Linked DNA regions of Caenorhabditis elegans. The protein of the gene in region 2 purifies or fractionates together with the protein of the main gene of each other region. This does not show direct contact. Each region holds a gene or a part of one and is shown on either strand. Other genes may lie near its edges.

Region 1 (3,754 bases), on a different chromosome or scaffold from region 2:
GGTGTGCAGATGTGCATTCTCATACTTTTCATTTTCAAAGGCGCAGATATCTTGGCATTCACCTCTGATCAGTTCTATTTGGTGTATAACGCAGTGAGGTAAGTCGGCGAAAAAAAAGTTCTCCCCGGCCGGGAATTGAACCCGGGTCTCGCATGTGACAGACGCGGATACTCACCACTATACTACCGAGGACACGAGAAGTTGGGTCATTTGGTGCCTAGATGAAACACCTTACTTTCAGCGACCTCTACGCAAGTATCAACCCATATCTTCTCTGGGTTTTCTCCGATTCTCTCCGAAAATATATCCTGCAACGGCTAGGCTTCACCAAGAAAAAATTAAAAATCACATCGGTCACACCTATCACATTTGTTCAATGATTATATTAATTTATTTTGCAAATTTATTTCAATTAAACTTTTAAAAATTAATCTTTATACAAATCTGGGAACTTATAGTTTTCGGTCTCCTGAAGCCAATTCTGTTCGCTCCATTTTGTGTTCTTCCGCTCCATGACGTGGATCGTGTACGCGTGACGTGACTTTTCCGATGTGTTCGCTTCACTTTTATGGACCACTAGGCCGTGGATAAGAATCAAGGATCCTTTGGAAATGGGGACATGCTGGAATTTGGATTGATCGTATGTTGGACGAGTGCCAATGAATTTAAGAAGAGCACCTCCCGACGTGTCATGGGTTCGCACGAATCGATAGTTCGCGGAGGAAGTGTCTGCAAAAAAAGAGAAATGAATCGTTTGTGTACGCACTAAGGGCGCACGCAAAAACATGTCCTCGGTAGTATAGTGGTGAGTATCCGCGTCTGTCACATGCGAGACCCGGGTTCAATTCCCGGCCGGGGAGAATATTTTTTGCCTCACCTTTGTGACTTCCCGGGATAAAGGAAAGACATCCATTCTCCACGCTGGCTTCATCAATTGCTATCCAAACTCCTGTAAGATGATCAATAGGGTCCACTCGAAGGAACGTAGAGTCCACGTGGTCCGTCACTGCTCCGCCGATTTTTGGCTGCTTGAAAATGTACATGCTCTGCACGACGCCGGGCTCCTGATATCCAATTTCCTTGAAGATATTTTGAATTTTCGAGTTGAACGTCATCTTCTCAAAAGTTGGATCCAGAAAGTGCAGGCCGTGACCGATTTTGTTGAGAGCCTTGTCCTTGGGCACCGTGAGCTCCCCGTCCTTATCCACAGCTCCCTCTTCGAAAAAGAATCGGATTTTGTCGGAGCTGTTGAGGAAGTAGGAGTCCGCTGCGTGCTGGAAGATTGATTATCGATTTTTTCTTAAGCATTCTTAGAAAATCGATAATTTAAACTTTATTGCAACAGTTTTTTTGATATTTTTTTGATATTTTTTCATTAAAAAAAGAGGAAACATTTCAACTGTTTCAAAAATTCTATAAATTTCATATTTCAAATTTCAAAAAAAAATTACTTTATCCTCATCATAAGTTGAAAAGACACTTTTCGGATGTTCTGCCAAATCCATATCGTTTACAATTTTTGAAATCGATTTTTTCATCTCATCAATCTCCTGATCATTAAATACATTTTCAACTACCACAAATCCATCTCTTTCGAATTTTTCGCGAAGATCCCACATTTCTGGAACAAAAATCGGTTAGTTTGGGGCGTCAAGATATGTAGGCATGTGTTCAGGCGTGCCTGCCTACCTGGGTGCCTGCTGCCTGAATGATTTACTACTTTATCGTGCCTATATATCCTATATATACCTATATCTCATTTTAATCAATTTTTTCTGGGTTTCCTTTTTTTTTTTAACCAAAAACAAAATACTGGTAGAAGGCACAAATGTAGGCACCAAAATGCCTATCTGCCTGCCTTGCCTGTGCTACCGGACAATTTTTAAAACTGAACCTTCAAAAGGATCAATAAAATTGAGAAACATGTTAGTCTAGGCGTGTACGTAGGTAGGCAGGCACGTAGGTAGGCAGGCACGAAGGTTGGCAGGTAAGTAGGTGGGTACGTAGCCATGAAAATTTTAATTGAAAAAAAAAAACTACACTTTTCTCAACAAGAAAAAACAGTAAAAGAACCGAGAGTAGCCACAATAAAATGGGTAGGCTAGGCGAACTATCTTATCAGTAGGTGCCATCATGATGCTTATCATATCAGCAATGGTGACTTGATACTTGTTTTTTTATTGTCTAATTGTGGTCACGTAAACGACCGAATTGACACGTGGCGGGAAAATTGGTGATTTGAGAGAAAAAGAAAAAAATCTAGAAATAAAAAAAAAGTGCGGTTTCAGAATATTTATATAAAAACTGAACCGAAAATTTTTTCGATTTCAATGCACTTGGCAATAAATTAATGTTATTTTTTTTTCAAATTCTCAACTTGTTCTTTTGAAACGCAAATTTGCAACAATTCTGCAATACTCACACTTTCATTCACTTTTAGTGTAAAAGCCTGCCTCATAATAATCATAATAATCTATTTTTGAAAGAGCACATCCCTAAGGGGTTCATTAGGTAGGACAAATGTGCGAGAAATTATTATTCAATTTTCGAGAAAAGGTGAAATAATGTGCTGCTTTTTTTTCTTCTGCTTTAGATTAACTTCAAAAAAATATAATTTTTGACAAAAAACCCCTTTAGAAAAATTAAAGTAAGCTGGGAAAAACTAAAATTTATTTGCGTTTCAACTTTTCGATAATTCTAAAGAAGAATGGCACAAAAAATTAAAGTCATTTCAATTTATAAAAACTTATGTTTCATTACCATCATATTGGCTTGGATGTTTTCATTGGAATCGGTGTAAGAGTTGAAAAGGAGAATCCGATTAGAACTTGAAGAAATGCGATTAGGCTGGCTCAAACTCTAAGTAGGCACGTTTTTACATACCTACCTAGCGCCTATTCTGACGAAAAACTCCAATTTCCAATATTCCAATATAAATGTTGAATTGAACATAAAATCTTGGATTGAAGGCACCCATGTAGGCACCAGGCAGGCGTAGGTAATTTTGAAGCTAAGTCAACAGTTGGCTTCGGTGCCATACTTCCCGGTTGACATCAAAATACCACAGAAAATAATTGTTGTTTCAACGAAAACCTAGAAACAAAAACATGTCCTTTTTATTAAAAAATTCGGCCTCTAAAATTACCGATCACATCTTATACCTGTTCATTAAGAGCGTAGGCAAAAATTTTTGAGCAATTATTATTTTTCTTTTTGTCATGAGTTATTATGTTTGCTCCGTTAACTTTTAAAGTGTAATCAATAAAAATTTGACTCAAAAGCCAAGAAATGGGGAGCAAAATCAAAATATGCCTGATTCATGCCTACCTTTTTTATGCCTGCCTGCCTGCCTGCCTGCCTACTTTCTTGCCTACCGCTCTTCTTTTGACGCTTTGGCGCAAACTACCTAGTTTTTGACGGTATAAGTAGACACTCGTGGAGGTAGGCATACGTCGCCTTGAAGAGACAAATAGGTATACTTTTTTTTCTCTAAGTTGAAGATTTACTTCCTTTCTGTGAAAAAAATGACAGCTGATTTTTAATTGGAACGGGGGTTGTTTTTTGTTTTTCCGGTTTGACTTTTTTGTCGAGTTCGTTTTTTTTTTAAATTTTAGAACATTGTTGTTTTTTGGAATTGTTCCATTAAAAAATCAACGCTGAATTTCAAATATTTAAATGAGTTTAAGAGTTTTCCAGAAAAGTAACAATTTTTGAACAATCTGGACAAAATCAACACTCAAACTAATCCCCAATA
Region 2 (3,754 bases):
TGTAGGAAGGTGCTAAGTCAGTTTTCTCCATTATCTGAAAACAAAATTTTTTGTTCAAATGCTTTATTCATCATATTTGATTTATTTTACCACATGAACATATCCAAGAGTGAACCTTTTCCGTGAGAGAAGGTGAAGTTCAATCTCGTCCTCCAATACAGTTTGCACTTCGTTCGTAATTTCTATGTAGGAAGTAGTATCCGTTTCACGAGACAAAAACTCCCGAATTCGACAACACGCGTCATTTGTCTCACATTCAATTTTTCCGTCTTTTCTAATTGTCTCAAAATTGTCAAAAATTGTCTTGTATCGTATTCCACACCGTTCGGATAGTTTCTGCATTCCAATCGCTGTTGGGTGGCAGTTTCTTGCAAAACTAGCGTTCAACTCTCGTCTCACTTGGCTTTCAGACATGATCCTTTTGTTGGATGGAATACTTCCCACTGAAATTTTGATATTAGATACATTTTGTCTGCACAGCGATCGACATTTCCGGGGCTGCCTTTTAATTACTTTGGCGTGTGTATAAATTGCATCATACATCAAAAAATCAAACTTTTTTTCTACAAACTATCTAGAAATATCAGACGATTGATTAAAAGTTATTCATTATCAAGTTATTATTTATTCATTATAAAGTTATACTTATCATTATCAATTTAGTATAAATTAGATGATATGATTTATAGCTGAACCAGCCGTGGACCGCACCTTCGGCGCGGCCCCCGACTTCTGTGGCTGAAAATTAATTTTTTTATAAAACTACCGTAACCCTACAGTATTCCTACCGTACCACTATTGTACCACTACAGTACCCCGACTATATCCCTACACTAACCCCAACTCACTATCCCTCCAGAAGCCAAAACTTCACAGACTACAAAGACTACATTGACCACAAACTATGGACACACAGAATAAGCGCTTTATATATAGTAGCTGAATAGTATTTTATTTGTAGCGCAATTCAGTTACCTTTCTTTGGGAATCCTGGACAGATCTTTTTAATTGGCAAAGACGAATCCGGGCGATCAAACAGCACAGAACTTCCCAGTGACATTTCGCAATCAAAATCAGTTGTATCATCTTTGAGAAGATCAGAAATGCACTGAAACTTTGGTTTCCAACTCGGAGTTTGAATCTGGAATAGAAACTGAGTTGAGCATGGGAGTTAAGTAAAGTTATCATTAAAGTTATGAGTTGTCAAAAAAAGCACTTCTTTCATTTGCGTGATTCTGAAAAAAGAAATACACAAAAAACAAAGACTTCCAGTCTTCATTACCTAGTACCTGACTAATTTTCGAATGTGCTACATTTTGAAAAAAAAATACTTCGTTTGGTGACGTTAAGAACTGAAAGGTTGAGCAGTTTTTCATAGTTTCAGTTTGATCATCTGTCAGTGAGAAATAACAAAAATTCCACAGCTAGTGTGACAGGAAACCAATGAAGAAATATTAGGGCTACAAGTAATCTTACAAATTATTGCAAAGTTCTATTCTACTATTTCTATTCTAAAATCTATTATTGAAAATTGTTAGTTTTGCATTTGACGTTCACTGTGGTAGATATTAGGATCGGTTTGTATATCTTATTATTTTCTCTTAAAAACTTACGACGTTCACATGTGTAGCTTCTTCAATAGGTTCTGTTTTTATGTCGTCAGATAGCAAATGAGTAGGTTTTTGTTCATCATCATGCAAACGAACTCCCACCTTTTCCAGAGCCGATCGTGGAATTTTAATCACTTTTCGAACAGTTGAGCAAATCTGTGTAAACAAACTAATCTAGTAGGTAAAGTCTAATATTTCTACCTTATCGGGAAGTTCTTCTTTGATATATCCTTTTGTAAATTTTTCCGGTTCAGTTTCTTCAAATAAATTTACATCTTGAATCTGAAAAACATGGAAAAATTGTAAGAAAAAAACATTAAAAAACTTGCATTCTCAGGCTCCTCCAATTTTGGAATCTTCCACTCAAATTCGTTTGATCTGTTCATTGCATTCTGAAATTAGCTTGTTTTCGTTCGATGGAAAAGCAAAAGAAAATAGAGTAAAATAATGGAGTAAAACTGAATCGTTTCAGAATCGATGATTGGTGGGGTACGCGGGAGACAATTCGAAGAGAGTGTGTGTGAAGAATTAGAGACGCAGTGTTATGTTTGTGTTGGAGCGCGGTTGCATTCTGAAACGACAAGAGCAAAAAATATAACAATTTTTTCTGTCAAAAGAACGGTTTAAATTTTTAATTCGAAAAAAAAAACAATAATTTTCGCTTTGAAACTTGCACATAAAAAGTTCTCACTCGAAACAACTTTTTTTATTTTTGACGCTAATCGCTGCTTTTCAATACTTCTCGTGTTGAATTCGTTTGCCGAATTTGCAGTTTGCCGAGCTCAGCAAATTTGCTGAATTTGCCGAACACGCCACTAATTGGATTATAAAAAATTTGACCGAAACTATTGATTAATTTAAAAAGTTACAGTAAAATATTATAAAATTGAGTTATTTTAAATGCTATGTAGGCCGACATAAACTAATGTTTTTTTTAATTACACTTGTGCTTAGAAGTCAGTAATTTTGGTGCTCTTAGAAATATCAACAAATTTTCTTGACTTTCGTAGTTTGTCCAGCATGGCAAATTGATCGAATTTGCCGTTCTTGAAATCTTGAAGCAAAATTCTGAAGATGAGGTAATATTAATCAAATTTGTTGATAACAGAATAATGAATAAATTTTTATACACGGTTTCTAAGTGAACTTTTGTTAGTAAATATGATTAAAATAAAATTTTGGGGAAAAATCGTTCCAGGAGGTGCTCCGATTGTGCAATGATTTTTGTGAAGTCTTCGCCCAAAATAATGGTTCTAATTAATGCATCTTCAACGATTCGAATTCTCCTGATCAAAAAATCGCATTTCGCTTTGTCCGTCTGGAAGAAAACGTGATGTGTTCTTGTAATGAAAGGCTTTTTTTTCCAAATTTATGAAAAAATCATGCCCACGTTTTTAAAAATCTTCATGAAATAATTAGTTTCAGAACTTACCTTATTGTACTCCTGTCTTCCAATTGATAAAAGATACATAAACCCTTTTTGCACAAATTCTATATAGTCAACGTTTTCATCCAGTTTGCGATATTTCTGTAAAAATCACGTTTTATCATACAACTATCCGTTGAAATAAGTTCTGGGTCAAAAATCATAACTTTTTTCGTGGGCTTTCGATTTTTCTGACAATTTGAGAATGTATGTTGTTAACTATCAGTTTTTGCTTGACGGAATTTTTGAAAAGTTTTGACCGTCTTAGGTATCGTCCTAGGTATAGTTCGAAGCACTTTTTTCATTTTAACAACATATTATAACACATTTCAAAATGTGTTTTGACAAATTGCTAAAAAGCAAAAAAAAAAAACCTTCACCTTATTCGATAAAAGTCGATGTAATGCCAGCACTTTACCGTTGTATTTTTTCTGAAAGCAATGAACAAATTTTTTATGAAGGCTAACAAATTAGTTGTAATTTTCCAAAAAGAAACAAAACAAATCGACCTACAATTTCCTCCTCTGTCAAAACCATATCACTTTTTACATTTAGATTGGGCATCACCTTGCTTTGGTTTTTGTTTTTATTTAAAATCTGAAAAAAAAATTCCGTATTTTGTAGTTTTAAAATCAGATGACTAGATTACCCTACCATTTTCTTCTGGACTCATCGAGAAAAACAATAAAAAGAGTTCCAAAACGTGTGTATATGTAGT

What was found. Proteins that work in one complex are often made in the same cells at the same time.
Region 1: the proteins of ceh-93 (region 2) and Y105C5B.9 fractionate together in Caenorhabditis elegans (co-fractionation; one large-scale study listed by BioGRID). This does not show direct contact.

Annotation. Positions count from the first base shown.
Region 1 is NC_003282.8:15,928,448-15,932,201, reverse strand, and holds Y105C5B.9 (Phytanoyl-CoA dioxygenase domain-containing protein 1 homolog), read right to left. Parts: upstream 1,622-3,754; 5' UTR 1,620-1,621; coding exon 1,452-1,619; intron 1,275-1,451; coding exon 878-1,274; intron 871-877; exon of another isoform or gene 785-870; intron 730-784; coding exon 428-729; 3' UTR 386-427; downstream 1-385. Other genes in the region: srv-16 (G-protein coupled receptors family 1 profile domain-containing protein), read left to right, coding at 1-98, 242-380. UniProt on the Caenorhabditis elegans protein: Has alpha-ketoglutarate-dependent dioxygenase activity. Does not show detectable activity towards fatty acid CoA thioesters. Is not expected to be active with phytanoyl CoA.
Region 2 is NC_003284.9:386,796-390,549, forward strand, and holds the start of ceh-93 (Homeobox domain-containing protein), read right to left. Parts: upstream 2,003-3,754; 5' UTR 1,997-2,002; coding exon 1,940-1,996; intron 1,893-1,939; coding exon 1,812-1,892; intron 1,767-1,811; coding exon 1,614-1,766; intron 1,142-1,613; coding exon 976-1,141; intron 444-975; coding exon 91-443; intron 35-90; coding exon 1-34. Other genes in the region: R04A9.9 (NR LBD domain-containing protein), read right to left, coding at 2,776-2,928, 3,043-3,138, 3,417-3,467, 3,550-3,633, 3,691-3,693.